Linked DNA regions of Oryzias latipes. The protein of the gene in region 2 interacts with the protein of the main gene of each other region in a pairwise test. Links are inferred from orthologs where the notes say so. Each region holds a gene or a part of one and is shown on either strand. Other genes may lie near its edges.

Region 1 (3,715 bases), on a different chromosome or scaffold from region 2:
AAATGTCTGTTTTACAGATTGTGTCTGATCCGAGAGTGCGGGTCGAGCAGGCTCTGCGGGAGGCTGGACTGCACCAAAGTCATTACGCCACAAAGGTTCTGTCTGAAATCAAACCTCTCAAGCCGCCTCGACGAGACACCAAATCCATGTTTAAGTTTTGATCATTTTGTATTTAAGTCAAGTCTGAACCTGTCTTGGCTCTGTGCATTCAGTATTTACACACATTTATTTTATTTAGTGTGGGAAAACCCACAGATAAGCTCTGTTCATTTATCATAAAAAAGCAGTGCAGCTGCCCAACAAGTGATTTTCGTTTCGTGCTCAGATACTGGACATGTTTATTTTAAAACTTATATTTGAGATGCATGGTCCTCTCAATCCAGTTTTACTGAACAGTTTGTTTTACTAAATGTTAGAACTCTAAATAAAGTTAATTCAGGAATGAATCAAGTTTATTTTATGTTTGTTGTGTTTGTGGTCTATGTGCAGTTTACAACCTTTGTAGTCATAGAAACCAGGCAACATAAAATCTTTTTGCAGATTTTTATTTGCTTTCATAAATATCAAAGGATTTAAAATAACATCTAATAAATCCAATATATTTGGCTTATTAAACAAATCATTTAAACTCTTAAAACTTAAATAGGTGCCCATTTCAAGTATCACTAATCAATTTTTGTTGTGTGTATTTACATTTTTAAATGTTACATATTTACAGCTGTTTAAATATCTGGGGCTTCAGGGAATAAGTCCGAGGCGTTTCTTGATGAAGTAAGCCACCAGGATTTGAGGTCTCTGCTGGTACTCCACCAGAACCTCATGAGAAGAGGTGATCTGATCTCCTTCAAAGCGGTTCAGTAACGTGACACAGACCACAGCAGCTGAGGGGGGGAAGGATCAGTGATAGGTCAGTTGTCATGCTGTTCAGATCATGTACAAACAAAAACTGCACAGGAGTTTTACCTTTGAGGCCACAGACCCGGCACATGGCAGCAAAGACGGTGGACTCCATCTCGATGTTTCTCACTCCAGCCTCATAAGCTTTCCTTAGATACTCCAGTTTCTCCTCATGAGAGAAAGAGCAGAGAGCTCCATCAAGCCGGCCCTGACCTGGAGAGCCACAGAGATTGACTTGTTAGTAAAGGGGCGGGAGACTTATTCCCAAATGGGACTGAAATAAAAACAGTTTTTTTTCAGTACCTTCATAGAAGTCATGGGTGCACATGGTCTTTCCAATAACAGTTGGAAAGCTCTGAAGTTCAGAGGCATACTGCAGAAGCTCACTGGCCACCTCTTCGTCCAACTCTGTACTCCTGGTGATGACCTTACCCAGAACCACTTGTTCAAATTGGGGGCAGAAAGAGTAGTCCACTGCTTTATCTGTTATTACCACCGTCCCTGGATTTAAACCTGGACAAGACGGCAACTGCTTATTTATTTTCTCATTTTTTGCCAAACCCAAGTTCCATCTACAATAGACATGCAGTAAATTTGACATATAGACATAAATGCTAGGTTTACTGGTACTTTTAATAAAAAAATTAAAAAAAACATACCGACTCCTCCGGATGTTCCCAGACGAAACAAAACCACATCCTGGCACCGAGCATGATGCAGCAGCTTGATGAGCTCATGCAGCATGATTGAGATGGATGGGACGCCCATGCCATGCTGTCACGTCAAAATGCAGTAAATCAACTCAACAGCCATAAAACTCTCAGTTCGTACGCAAATAATAAGCCTACAAATCAGCAAATAGGTAGATCGTTCCTGTAAGCATGGACATACTTACACTTATAGAGAGTACTGGCCCCACTTTGTACATGGAGTAGCGATCAGTGCCCTCGCAGATATCCCGGATGTCGTCTGGGTTTCCAGGAATGTGTAGGTCTTGGTGGATGAAGTGGGCAAAAGCCTTCATTCGATTTGCGCTTCCACCAACACACACAAACTACAGAAACAGCAACAAAAGAACAATTAAACTCCGGTTTCTCTTCTCGTCTCAGAAGATTTAGGCTTAACATAGAACTCTTTTACAAACTTTGATATCTCCAAACATTTCTGGGAGGTTGTGAGTCTTAGTGCTCAGGCTGAAGTGGTACAGAATGTCCTCCTCCATGGTGTCAAGATAAGGATTTTTGACATGGACCTGTTGTCTGAGAGTGATGTTCTGGATAAATAGACGTTCACAAGTATATTTGAAAAAATATCACAATCTCACTTAATCCTTTACTTACTTGATGTAATCCTTGTGGTCTTTTCCCAAGCGGTTCAGAAGAATCAGTGCCATGGCAGGAGATGCTTTCAAGCAAAGGTTTTTAAAAAAAATGCTTTTACCAGTCTATGCAAAATCTGAGCCCCTGTCTGTGTGCCTTTTCAATCAAGAGACAGTTTTAACGGCTGACTTAATATACTTGTGACTCTTGACCCAACAGCTGATTGGTTGTGTAGAGAGGAGTAGTCAGCGGTCCCCGCCCTGATTAAAATGTACCGGCTCCAAACAAACAGAGCAAAAGCTACAACAAAAAATATTTGCACAAGGTAAAAAGTGATTTAAAAACCGCTGCAATTGGAAACCCCACATCCCATATAAATACTGCTAAGGTTAAAGATTACATACATGTTAGGAAAGTGTGTAATGTCCTGACATAAGTCAATAGGAGGCGAGAGGATATCTGACGTGATTTGACATAACTGACCAAGAGAACAGGCAGATGACCTGCGATTGAGTTTGCAGACATTTGGCAAATCCTCCAAAACATTGACATGCTCACAAAGTGAAATGAACAAACAAGCACTGATCACACAGAGTGCACACGCATGAAAGCACAGAAAGACGAAATTCCAAATCTTTAGAACTTTATTTGAAATTTTCTGCAAACCGGAACAATCCAGCTAAAAATATAACACATTCAGCATCTTTAGTAACAAGGCAAAGCAGATGAGACAAACAGCGCAAATGCTGCTGAGTCAGTCGACAACCTTAATCCTCTAAGAAATGCCGGTACAATATTTGACGGGACTTAACGAGAAAGAGGAACAGACATGAATGTCATAGGAGAAGACGGCGTGGTTTTGGATCTGGCAGACCTCCAGACTGTTGAGGATAAAATGAAGCAGAGCAAAAATCATTAACTTCGCCTTTACAGCATAATTCACCAATATCTTTACATCAAGAGGTTTAGAAATCGCAGAGAGCTGAAATTATAGTCATTTTATTGGCTATTTGTTTATACTGCTCAGTAATCTGTGTCTGTTTCTTTTTTACAGCACTGAAAGCGTGATTAGCAAAAAGAAATGACAGTGTTTTGGGGTGTTTAGGGCTCCTTACTTGCATCATTGGATTGGGCTGTTGGCTTCAGCATAGCCAAAACTCAGAAGCTTAGACATGTCAACAGGTGCCGGCTTCTTGTCAAACACTCTGAAAAAGCAGAAAGTCATTTCAAATTGACTTCTTAGGTTCTTCTATTATCAGACACGGTTCTGTTTTTTCACATATCTAGGTGTAATACAAGCACTATGAACTTTATTGAACTAGTCGTTCAAAATTGTATAGAAAATCCACTTTTTGCCTTTTTATGTAAATTAAATCAGTGGAAATATTTAGTCATTTCAAAATATAAATAATTATCTAAAGAACTGTGGCCAAAAAGACTACAGTGGTTACAGTTTAAACATCAAACATGAGTTGTTCCTTTCACTAATCCAAAACTGT
Region 2 (3,750 bases):
GGAGCTGCCAGATAAAGACGGCGTGGGCCGGGCCCTGCAGCGGGACGGCTGATCAGCCCGACAGAAAGGTCTGAGCCCACACACACAAAACTACAGCAGACATGGGAAAACCAACAAAGCTGCCATCGATCCTGTAAATGTAAAGCAAATCCCCAACAGATCCACTCAGACACAGACAGACAGACAGATTGACAGACAAGACAGACTGACCTTCGTCCATAAGATTTCCAAATAAGGCTTCTGTCTGCTCCTGAAATGTTTGGACCTCTGAAAGAGAAAACAAAGGAAGTGCACATGAGAACCCGACAGGCTGGTTCTGAACGTTCTGCTTTGTTCTCCAGTCAGACACAGAAGTGGGCTCGGATTGTTGTGATGTTCCGGCAGACGTGAGGGCCGGATGGCGCCGAGGCGGTGTTTGATGGGCAGGACACAGAGCGTGCTCACTTTAGATTTCTGCTGTGTGGACGCTTTGCTGCAGAGCCACTCATTCATATTTCAGTAAGTCTGGTCCATTTCTGGACTAAAGGTTGACGAGTGAAACCCGTTTGTCTTCAGCTGAACAAAATCTACACAAAGCAAATTATTCCTGGACACGATTGCATCACATTTGATTTGAGGTTTCTGTTAAAACGACGTACAATGTCTCCTTCTGTGTGGAAACAGAACTCGCAAACACAGGAAGCTGCTTTTTGAAACTAAAAATTCATCTCCACATAAACCGTCTCGTCTACAAACATAGGCAGAAAACAGGGCTACGGTGTGGGAACAGGTAGACGGATAAGACCATCGATGGTTCGGGGCGTGAAGGTGAACACCAACGATGAAGGAAACCATAAACCATAAACATCTTCCTGTCTTTGTTCTGCCAATGGTTTGGTTGCAAACAGACCAAAAAGTCTGTTTCACCAACAGCTTCTGCCTCCATGAACCTCATGGAGGCTCAACAATCTTTAAACGCATCGCAAAAGAAAACCATTTCCCTTTTAGAAGCTGAAGAAATATAATCTAGAAATAGTTTCATTAATTAAGAGATTGGATATTTTTCTCAAAAGATTGGAAATTATTATTATTTTTAATTGATGTTATTTAAGAAACCAAGCAGAAACCTAAATACAATGTTGAGTAAATACAAATTGTACATTTTTTTGTATATATTGAATCCTTCAACTATGTGATGAATCTTTTGACAGAAAACAAGAACATCTTTTGTGCATCACAGAGCGAGAGGCGGAGCCTCAGAGATGGAGTCGTCCTACTTCCTGATTGGAAAAGAACTCAGGAAAATAACTAATATTTAATTTTAAAAGAAATGTTCTTTTGTGTCCCAAAATATATCATCATATACATGGATATATATATTTTTTACTATAAAAGGCTTAAGAAGAGCCTGGTATAGGCCCTTAAAGGACCAAAACATAAACACACAAAATGAATATTTAAAAAGCAAATTAGTTTTAATAAATGTTCAAAAGTGCTATTTGTGAAGAAAACATTCCCGTCGTTCCCTTTTCTCTTCTATGATAAGAAATTAAATATCCTGAATGACAAAACTAAACAGAGGAACATCAGGACAGGTGAAGGGGGATTCAACACAAACGTTAATCCACGTTAAAACAGTGCAACATAATGTACGCAGGGAAACGGTTAAAAGCATCTTCTGTGCTCGCCCACGTCACGCACAGCATCGGTGTGCCAACACGGCCCCCTGCACACAAAGTGCCAATTCAAGCCACCTTGGGCAGAAACATGGAGCTGGTGAGGATCGACGCGCTTCACCTTTAGTGTTGTGCACATTCCTGGTTGCTACGCATGAGAGCAGCCTGAACAGGGAGTTCCAGGGTGGAGCTTGTGGAGCTACACTTGTCTGCTTGGATTTCACTTGGACCACAGACATAGAGGTAAAGCATGTATGCAGCCCCTCTGTGCCACGCTGCTCAGGCCTTTTCCATGGAAACCACACACTGCTGCTGGAGCTCTACGCATTCCTCCAAATACTGGATCATATTTCCCCTCCTGCCACCCCCGCCCCCGCCCCCACCCCTCTCCCCTTGGAAAGTACAAGCTTCTGAGCGGCTGGAGTTCTGCAGCAGATCCAGAACGAGGGTTGTGTCCAAACAAACACCAGCAGATCCTTAACAGCGGGAAAACGTCAGAGTCCAGGGTGTTTGAGCGACTCCACTGCAGAAGCAACAGAAGGAGCCCGGACAGCAGCCAGGCAGGCTAAAGGGTTAATCAACTCGCCAGTCTGCACAGGAAACGGGAGGCAGTTTAGGAGAGTCATTAGAGCTTCACCAACACTGGGTAATTATCCAGTTTCTCCACTCAGGAACTATTTGACATTCCACGGGGCGGTTGGTTAGCAGGTATAGAAAGAGGAGTCAAAAAAAAGTGCAAGTTTGCAAAAGAAAAATCCTCAAAACAAGAGAGCCCCAGCTCAGAAACCTAACCTTGGCTCCCCGAGAGGAAATGAAAGAAGAAGAAAAAAATCCAGTGTGAAGTCTCCCCCTTCACTTTCTTCTCGGTTTGGATTTCAGTGATGTTCTTTGTCCTGGGGAGCGTGGTCGGTGTCAGCGCCACTGGCTGTGTTTGTCTGAAACACAGAGCTAAAGTCCGCATCCAGCGCGAGTCTTTATCTTTGTCTCTGCAGGCTCAGCCCTCACATGTCTCAGCTCAGCTCCAGCTGCATCTCCCTGCTGCTCCTGCAGCCTCGTGTCCTCTGAAAGCCTGCAGTTTGCCTTCTTTCTCCAGGCTGGACATTCTTCCTCCCTCTGCCCCCTCCCTCCGCCTCACTGTGGTTGTGCAAGTCTCAGATTTCAGCTGGTATAGCTGTAAGCTGCAGCACCAGCTGACCCCTCTGACTTCATACCTCCTTTCTCCTTTAGTGCAGCCCGTTTCTCCTCTGTCCACGTTTTAAATGTGAGCCAGAGAACACAGGGCTGCGTTCTCTGGCTCACATTTGCTCTTCAGCATAACTTACTTACACACTCTACAGCAGCGTCTCACCTTCTCAAAGTGCTCTTCCTGTTTTTGAGAAGCACTCTAGGTATGTGAAAAGCTCGCTCAGCGTTTACCGTTCGGAGCATCGATGCTGAAGATGCAGCACATCCCAGAGTCAACATCTGCTCACGAGAGGACAAAGAGGAGAAGCTTTTCTTTGTGCTTCATTTCCACATGGACCAAATCTGTGGAATTCCTTGCCCACCGTATGCTAAGCCGGAAGGATTTTTTCGCCCCCTCAGACTCAGTTATTTTCACAAATCTGATAAGAGATCAAACACGTCTGCAGCTGCATCAAAGACGGAGCGTGTCTGCTTTCAAAATCTCTGTCTGGATGTTCAGGCAGCAGTTTTTGGGAGGTCTGCAGTCAAACCTGCCAGTGGCTAGCAGACAGTGTTGTGAGAAAACAATTCTCCTGCTACATCTTAACATCTTGGCTTCAGTGCACATTAAAGTTTCCTTTATGCCAACGCAGAAACCCTGAATTCTGATTTTAAGTAATACTTTTAACAAGACTGCATTAGCTTAATCTAAAAAAGCTTTTTGAACGTGCCAACTCTTTTTACAAATTCAGCTCTTAAGCTAATATACAAAAAAAAAGAAGCACAAAAGGGACTAAATGTCATCGACACAGCAAGTTTTCATAAAGTTCCAGCAGGACCGGAGAACTCTGTAGAACATCAGCTGTTCCCTCGACCAGACCACTCATAGGAACAACCTGACTCCTTAGGTTGGGGGTCTCTTCTGGGCAAA

What was found. The genes of interacting proteins can lie anywhere in the genome.
Region 1: the proteins of siah1 (region 2) and upp2 interact in binary tests that used the Homo sapiens proteins (3 or more experiments, as listed by UniProt). The two-hybrid records come from large-scale screens. The link is inferred for Oryzias latipes from reciprocal best matches to the Homo sapiens genes SIAH1 and UPP2.

The regions. Positions count from the first base shown.
Region 1 is NC_019879.2:20,678,808-20,682,522, reverse strand, and holds upp2 (uridine phosphorylase 2), read right to left. Parts: upstream 2,563-3,715; 5' UTR 2,291-2,562; coding exon 2,238-2,290; intron 2,157-2,237; coding exon 2,042-2,156; intron 1,952-2,041; coding exon 1,793-1,951; intron 1,672-1,792; coding exon 1,557-1,671; intron 1,411-1,556; coding exon 1,201-1,410; intron 1,111-1,200; coding exon 964-1,110; intron 882-963; coding exon 739-881; 3' UTR 530-738; downstream 1-529. Other genes in the region: ccdc148 (coiled-coil domain-containing protein 148), read left to right, coding at 18-161; uncharacterized protein C7orf57 homolog, read right to left, coding at 3,337-3,421. UniProt on the Homo sapiens protein: Catalyzes the reversible phosphorylytic cleavage of uridine to uracil and ribose-1-phosphate which can then be utilized as carbon and energy sources or in the rescue of pyrimidine bases for nucleotide synthesis.
Region 2 is NC_019864.2:25,286,439-25,290,188, forward strand, and holds the start of siah1 (E3 ubiquitin-protein ligase SIAH1), read right to left. Parts: upstream 2,818-3,750; 5' UTR 1,895-2,817; coding exon 1,777-1,894; intron 268-1,776; coding exon 211-267; intron 1-210. UniProt on the Homo sapiens protein: E3 ubiquitin-protein ligase that mediates ubiquitination and subsequent proteasomal degradation of target proteins.